2 linked regions of the Saccharomyces cerevisiae S288C genome follow. The protein of the gene in region 1 purifies or fractionates together with the protein of each later gene. This does not show direct contact. Each region holds a gene or a part of one and is shown in the gene's direction. Other genes may lie near its edges.

Region 1 (3,946 bases):
GATACGCTAACACCGCATCTGAACACGTAATACTACTATATGACTTGGAACAAATGGCTAATCAATAATCACATATGTTCGACCGCTGCAGGAAAAGAGAAAAGAAAGCAGTTTCTACAAGCAAGAACTTGGAAATACAGACAAACCTCCAGTACTTTATTAGGATTGTCCATTCCTCACCCAGATATGTTAAATTCGATACCAATGTGTTTTGATTCACGCGCAGAAAGAAGGACTTTCCCTGCTCTGCTCGGCAAAAACATACACGTTGTCGACCGAGCACGACTGCCGTTGTCGAAGCCACCACTGTCACTTCTCGTTTAATATCTTTAATCGCATCATCTATAGTTCCTAATTCTGCATTCCTAACACTGTAGCCTATCCAGCAAAATCATTCCCATTTTCTCTTTATATGTGCCTAGATTTTAAAATTTTGCTTAAGATGATTTACATTGAGGGGGGAAACTTGCTTTATCCGCTCCTCCAATTGATTCAAGAAGTATGGGCGCTGACCTACCATCTCAATTTCTTGTTTCACTCGAGAATTGTCACTGAGATAGTAAATGTCTAGAGAATCCTTTGCAACAGGAGATTTCAAATTTATATTCTTTGTGTTCGCATTCGCTTCCCGTCTGTTACTCGTTCCCTTACCATTCTATTATGCATTGCAGATCTGCCAAGTAAAAAAAAAAATACCTTGGTGTACACACCACCCATACATTATCTGACAAGGAAACAAAAGTAATGACAGTAAATTGAAGAACTTGTGATGAGCCAAAAAGAAGAATGTGTGCACTTCTTTTCGTATTTTTATGGTAAAGCCAGTTGGTGGCTTTCTTTGACGATATGAAACCCAGGATCCCATGCTGCCTATGTTGCATTTATGTAATTGTCTGTATGAAGCTCGCATTTTAGAGTTACTACTATGTGCTTTCTATGCAGTTGCTTGCCGCAGCCAAGACGTAGAGATTTCTTAGACGTGCTTTTTATTTCTTATGAAAGTAAAGAGTGTGTATACAACGAACTATGTTAATAATTAGTAGTACCAGAACATTGACTTTCGTAAGGACCAAACGGCATCCCTATCTCGGAAGAACACCACATGATGCAAGTTCTCCTGCCTACGAATAGTTCGTCAGGTGCCAGCACTGAGACCACCCAAACTAAAGGCAATCGAAAACTATACCACGTTTATCGTTATGTTTCGGCGGCTCACCTTGTATCAACCTGCTTGGCAAGCTGCTCTGCGAGGCTCCATTTTTTTACATTTTCAAGAGGAGTACATTTCACCTTAAAAAACGGCACGGAGAAAGCCTAAACTTGGTTGCATATACGCAATTACAAATCTTTTATAACTACTTCTGATTCTGTGCACGACGTGCCACCCGGTACAGTTCAAAGGTCACTATACGCACTGTCGATCGAGCCAACCCAACCCACAGAACATCCTAAAGCTTCAAATCGAAACGCGTACAGTCAGCATTCTTCATGCTGCACCCGATCCTTCTTACCGCGTGCTGGGTGAAAAGCAAGACTAAGAGCAAGACCCTTGGATAACGGCACCAAATGGACTACTTTCGTCCTTTCCTGCAACTCTGACTATAGCTTTTTCTATCATTGCCTAAACCAAACCGTCCACGCCACCTCACCAGCAACGCACAGCATGAAGAACGCGAAAACAGAAAAAAAAAACGCCAAAAGAAACGGCCACCGTGTACTTGCTGGCCAGCTAGAAATGCCTCGGGAGCCACCACGTTTATTTTTATCTCAATCTCTGAAAAACTTTTTTTTCTTTGTTTTTGTCGTTTTTCAGCATGAACAGCGCAGCAATAAACAAACAAACAAACAAACAGACGAACAGACACAGAACCACAGCTGACCGGTAGTAAAGTAAGCTGGTGGTTTCTCGCTTTGTTTTCTTTTTTTCCTTGCCTCGTGGCGCTCTTGTAAACATATATATAGTAGACTTTTCACGTCATTGTTAGAAGTTTCACATAGTCTTGTTTTCTTTTCTCCAAAACTGTATTTTTTTTTTCTTTGTCTATCTTGTTCTCACCTCTTTGACTTTGATAACGTTCATCAAGTGTGCAAACTACTTTACATTCGCTAACTCTTTTCTTCTGTCCAAATATTTTGTTGACTATACAAACAAAATATTATCAGCACAAGACAAGCTACAACTTCAACAAATAAAACATATATAATTGAAAAATGAAAGGTTTAATTTTAGTCGGTGGTTACGGTACCAGATTGAGACCTTTAACTTTGACCGTTCCAAAGCCACTGGTTGAATTCGGTAATAGACCAATGATTTTACACCAAATCGAGGCTTTAGCCAACGCTGGTGTTACTGACATCGTTCTTGCTGTTAATTACAGACCAGAAGTCATGGTGGAAACTTTGAAGAAGTACGAAAAGGAATATGGTGTTAACATCACTTTCTCTGTAGAAACTGAACCATTAGGTACTGCAGGTCCATTGAAATTGGCTGAAGATGTTTTGAAGAAGGACAACTCTCCATTTTTCGTCCTAAACTCCGACGTCATTTGCGAATATCCATTCAAGGAATTGGCTGACTTCCACAAAGCTCACGGTGGTAAAGGTACCATTGTTGCTACCAAGGTCGACGAACCTTCTAAATACGGTGTCATTGTCCATGATATAGCTACTCCAAACTTGATTGACAGATTTGTTGAAAAGCCAAAGGAATTTGTTGGTAACAGAATTAACGCCGGTTTGTACATTTTAAACCCAGAAGTCATTGACTTGATTGAAATGAAGCCAACTTCAATTGAAAAGGAAACTTTCCCAATCTTGGTCGAAGAAAAACAACTATATTCCTTCGATTTGGAAGGTTTCTGGATGGATGTTGGTCAACCAAAGGACTTCTTGTCTGGTACCGTTCTTTACTTGAACTCTTTGGCCAAGAGACAACCAAAAAAATTGGCTACAGGTGCCAACATTGTTGGTAATGCCTTGATCGACCCAACCGCTAAGATTTCCTCCACTGCTAAGATTGGCCCAGACGTGGTTATCGGTCCTAATGTCACCATCGGTGATGGTGTTAGAATCACCAGATCTGTTGTTTTGTGCAACTCCACCATCAAGAACCACTCCTTGGTCAAATCTACCATCGTAGGCTGGAACTCTACCGTTGGTCAATGGTGTCGTTTGGAAGGTGTCACTGTCTTGGGTGACGACGTTGAAGTTAAGGACGAAATCTACATCAACGGTGGTAAAGTCTTACCTCATAAGTCTATCTCCGATAATGTTCCAAAGGAAGCTATTATTATGTGAGTTAGGAAAACGAACTGTAATGAATATAATCTATATCACTCATCTGTTTTTGTTAATTTTATTTTAGCCAATATCATTATAAAAAGAGGAAAACATGCACAGAAAAAGCACTGCTTACTGTTATGTCTTAGTTTGTAATTGAAAATGAAAAATAAAAAAAAAAAAGAAAATAAAGAAAAAAAGGTTGATCCTTATGTAACTTTTTATTTACGTAGAAGTTAATAAATATTATCTCATTGTTTTATCTATTTTTCAGTATATGGATACATGTAAAGTTCCTCTATTTATGTATATTTTATGCATGACTATTCGCGTTTGAGATTGTGATGATCTGTTCTGCGCCCTTATTTTTATTATTGTTGGCTATCAATGTCTGTAGTATTACATCCAGCGAACTATCTACTTCTTCAATATTCATTTCCGTACCTTCCCTGATAATCCGTCTATATTTATGAATCTTGGCATTGTCTTCAAATTTCTTCACCAAGGAACTCAATTTGTTTTTCCTTTGTAATTGCAACATCGTTAGTTCTTGAGCCAATTCCAACCTTTCCAGCGTATTATTATCTTTCTCAACTGTGTTATTGGTGGTAGCCTGAGTTTCATCTTCTATTAATTTGTTCAATAAAACCGTTTGCCTGTATTCCAG
Region 2 (3,499 bases), on another chromosome or scaffold:
GTCCTGCTGGTGAATTACAACATTCTCAAAGTTTCCCATTCCTATTCAGAGATTTGAGTAAAAGATACGAATCTTATAAAGGCAAAAATGTGGATGTAGCTTACTATGTTAAGGTAACAGTTATGAGGAAGTCCACAGACATCTCGAAAATAAAAAGATTTTGGGTCTATCTTTATAATAGTGTAACTACTGCGCCAAATACCCTTTCCGCAAATGAGACAAAGGCAACCACTAATGACATCGCTGGTGGTAACTATGCTGCAGATAATGCGAGTGACAACACGCAAACAAAGAGCACCCAGGGTGAGGCGGCAGACGTTAATCAAGTTTTGCCGATATCACATTCAAATAATGAGCCCAAGCCTGTTAGATTGGATATAGGTATAGAAAATTGCCTTCACATTGAGTTTGAATATGCCAAATCCCAGTACAGCTTAAAAGAAGTCATTGTGGGGCGTATATATTTCCTTTTAACGAGACTAAGGATAAAACATATGGAATTAAGCTTGATCACAAGAGAATCTTCCGGCCTACAAACTTCTAATGTAATGACAGATTCCACTGCTATCCGATACGAAATAATGGATGGGTCTTCAGTGAAAGGTGAAACCATACCCATAAGATTATTCTTGAGCGGCTATGACCTGACGCCCAATATGAGCTGCAACTACTTTAACGTCAAGAATTATTTGAGCTTGGTTATTATCGATGAAGATGGCAGAAGATATTTTAAACAATCAGAAATAACATTGTACAGGACCCGGTAGAAAAGCTCGACCTTAAATAAGGTGAAGATGTGGTTCTCTGTTCTTTCAACATCTCGATATTTAACTTTTCGTTTGGCATTATAGTGTTATACATAACAATATCTAGATTTCAGTAGAAGACTTTTGCGTAAGTTATAACGAACTAAACAAGCAAGAGGTAAAATACGATATAGTAAGAAGCTCAAGTGCTAAAACTTTTTTTCTCTACGAAAGGAGGAATAGCATATGGTTTTCTTCCCTTTTACAGTGCTTCGGAAAAGCACAGCGTTGTCCAAGGGAACAATTTTTCTTCAAGTTAATGCATAAGAAATATCTTTTTTTATGTTTAGCTAAGTAAAAGCAGCTTGGAGTAAAAAAAAAAATGAGTAAATTTCTCGATGGATTAGTTTCTCACAGGTAACATAACAAAAACCAAGAAAAGCCCGCTTCTGAAAACTACAGTTGACTTGTATGCTAAAGGGCCAGACTAATGGGAGGAGAAAAAGAAACGAATGTATATGCTCATTTACACTCTATATCACCATATGGAGGATAAGTTGGGCTGAGCTTCTGATCCAATTTATTCTATCCATTAGTTGCTGATATGTCCCACCAGCCAACACTTGATAGTATCTACTCGCCATTCACTTCCAGCAGCGCCAGTAGGGTTGTTGAGCTTAGTAAAAATGTGCGCACCACAAGCCTACATGACTCCACGTCACATGAAACCACACCGTGGGGCCTTGTTGCGCTAGGAATAGGATATGCGACGAAGACGCTTCTGCTTAGTAACCACACCACATTTTCAGGGGGTCGATCTGCTTGCTTCCTTTACTGTCACGAGCGGCCCATAATCGCGCTTTTTTTTTAAAAGGCGCGAGACAGCAAACAGGAAGCTCGGGTTTCAACCTTCGGAGTGGTCGCAGATCTGGAGACTGGATCTTTACAATACAGTAAGGCAAGCCACCATCTGCTTCTTAGGTGCATGCGACGGTATCCACGTGCAGAACAACATAGTCTGAAGAAGGGGGGGAGGAGCATGTTCATTCTCTGTAGCAGTAAGAGCTTGGTGATAATGACCAAAACTGGAGTCTCGAAATCATATAAATAGACAATATATTTTCACACAATGAGATTTGTAGTACAGTTCTATTCTCTCTCTTGCATAAATAAGAAATTCATCAAGAACTTGGTTTGATATTTCACCAACACACACAAAAAACAGTACTTCACTAAATTTACACACAAAACAAAATGATCAGAATTGCTATTAACGGTTTCGGTAGAATCGGTAGATTGGTCTTGAGATTGGCTTTGCAAAGAAAAGACATTGAGGTTGTTGCTGTCAACGATCCATTTATCTCTAACGATTATGCTGCTTACATGGTCAAGTACGATTCTACTCATGGTAGATACAAGGGTACTGTTTCCCATGACGACAAGCACATCATCATTGATGGTGTCAAGATCGCTACCTACCAAGAAAGAGACCCAGCTAACTTGCCATGGGGTTCTCTAAAGATCGATGTCGCTGTTGACTCCACTGGTGTTTTCAAGGAATTGGACACCGCTCAAAAGCACATTGACGCTGGTGCCAAGAAGGTTGTCATCACTGCTCCATCTTCTTCTGCTCCAATGTTTGTTGTTGGTGTTAACCACACTAAATACACTCCAGACAAGAAGATTGTCTCCAACGCTTCTTGTACCACCAACTGTTTGGCTCCATTGGCCAAGGTTATCAACGATGCTTTCGGTATTGAAGAAGGTTTGATGACCACTGTTCACTCCATGACCGCCACTCAAAAGACTGTTGATGGTCCATCCCACAAGGACTGGAGAGGTGGTAGAACCGCTTCCGGTAACATTATCCCATCCTCTACCGGTGCTGCTAAGGCTGTCGGTAAGGTCTTGCCAGAATTGCAAGGTAAGTTGACCGGTATGGCTTTCAGAGTCCCAACCGTCGATGTTTCCGTTGTTGACTTGACTGTCAAGTTGGAAAAGGAAGCTACTTACGACCAAATCAAGAAGGCTGTTAAGGCTGCCGCTGAAGGTCCAATGAAGGGTGTTTTGGGTTACACCGAAGATGCCGTTGTCTCCTCTGATTTCTTGGGTGACACTCACGCTTCCATCTTCGATGCCTCCGCTGGTATCCAATTGTCTCCAAAGTTCGTCAAGTTGATTTCCTGGTACGATAACGAATACGGTTACTCCGCCAGAGTTGTTGACTTGATCGAATATGTTGCCAAGGCTTAAATAAAGCAATCTTGATGAGGATAATGATTTTTTTTTGAATATACATAAATACTACCGTTTTTCTGCTAGATTTTGTGAAGACGTAAATAAGTACATATTACTTTTTAAGCCAAGACAAGATTAAGCATTAACTTTACCCTTTTCTCTTCTAAGTTTCAATACTAGTTATCACTGTTTAAAAGTTATGGCGAGAACGTCGGCGGTTAAAATATATTACCCTGAACGTGGTGAATTGAAGTTCTAGGATGGTTTAAAGATTTTTCCTTTTTGGGAAATAAGTAAACAATATATTGCTGCCTTTGCAAAACGCACATACCCACAATATGTGACTATTGGCAAAGAACGCATTATCCTTTGAAGAGGTGGATACTGATACTAAGAGAGTCTCTATTCCGGCTCCACTTTTAGTCCAGAGATTACTTGTCTTCTTACGTATCAGAACAAGAAAGCATTTCCAAAGTAATTGCATTTGCCCTTGAGCAGTATATATATACTAAGAA

Evidence for each region. The genes of interacting proteins can lie anywhere in the genome.
Region 2: the proteins of PSA1 (region 1) and TDH1 purify together in Saccharomyces cerevisiae (affinity purification with mass spectrometry; 2 studies listed by BioGRID, with this or other methods). This does not show direct contact.

Annotation. Positions count from the first base shown.
Region 1 is NC_001136.10:355,025-358,970, reverse strand, and holds PSA1 (mannose-1-phosphate guanylyltransferase), read left to right. Parts: upstream 1-2,211; coding exon 2,212-3,297; downstream 3,298-3,946. Other genes in the region: transcription factor MBP1, read right to left, coding at 3,593-3,946. UniProt on the Saccharomyces cerevisiae protein: Involved in cell wall synthesis where it is required for glycosylation. Involved in cell cycle progression through cell-size checkpoint.
Region 2 is NC_001142.9:336,271-339,769, forward strand, and holds TDH1 (glyceraldehyde-3-phosphate dehydrogenase (phosphorylating) TDH1), read left to right. Parts: upstream 1-2,000; coding exon 2,001-2,999; downstream 3,000-3,499. Other genes in the region: retromer subunit PEP8, read left to right, coding at 1-767; YJL052C-A (uncharacterized protein), read right to left, coding at 1,614-1,733. UniProt on the Saccharomyces cerevisiae protein: Glyceraldehyde-3-phosphate dehydrogenase (GAPDH) involved in glycolysis and gluconeogenesis. Catalyzes the reaction of glyceraldehyde-3-phosphate to 1,3 bis-phosphoglycerate.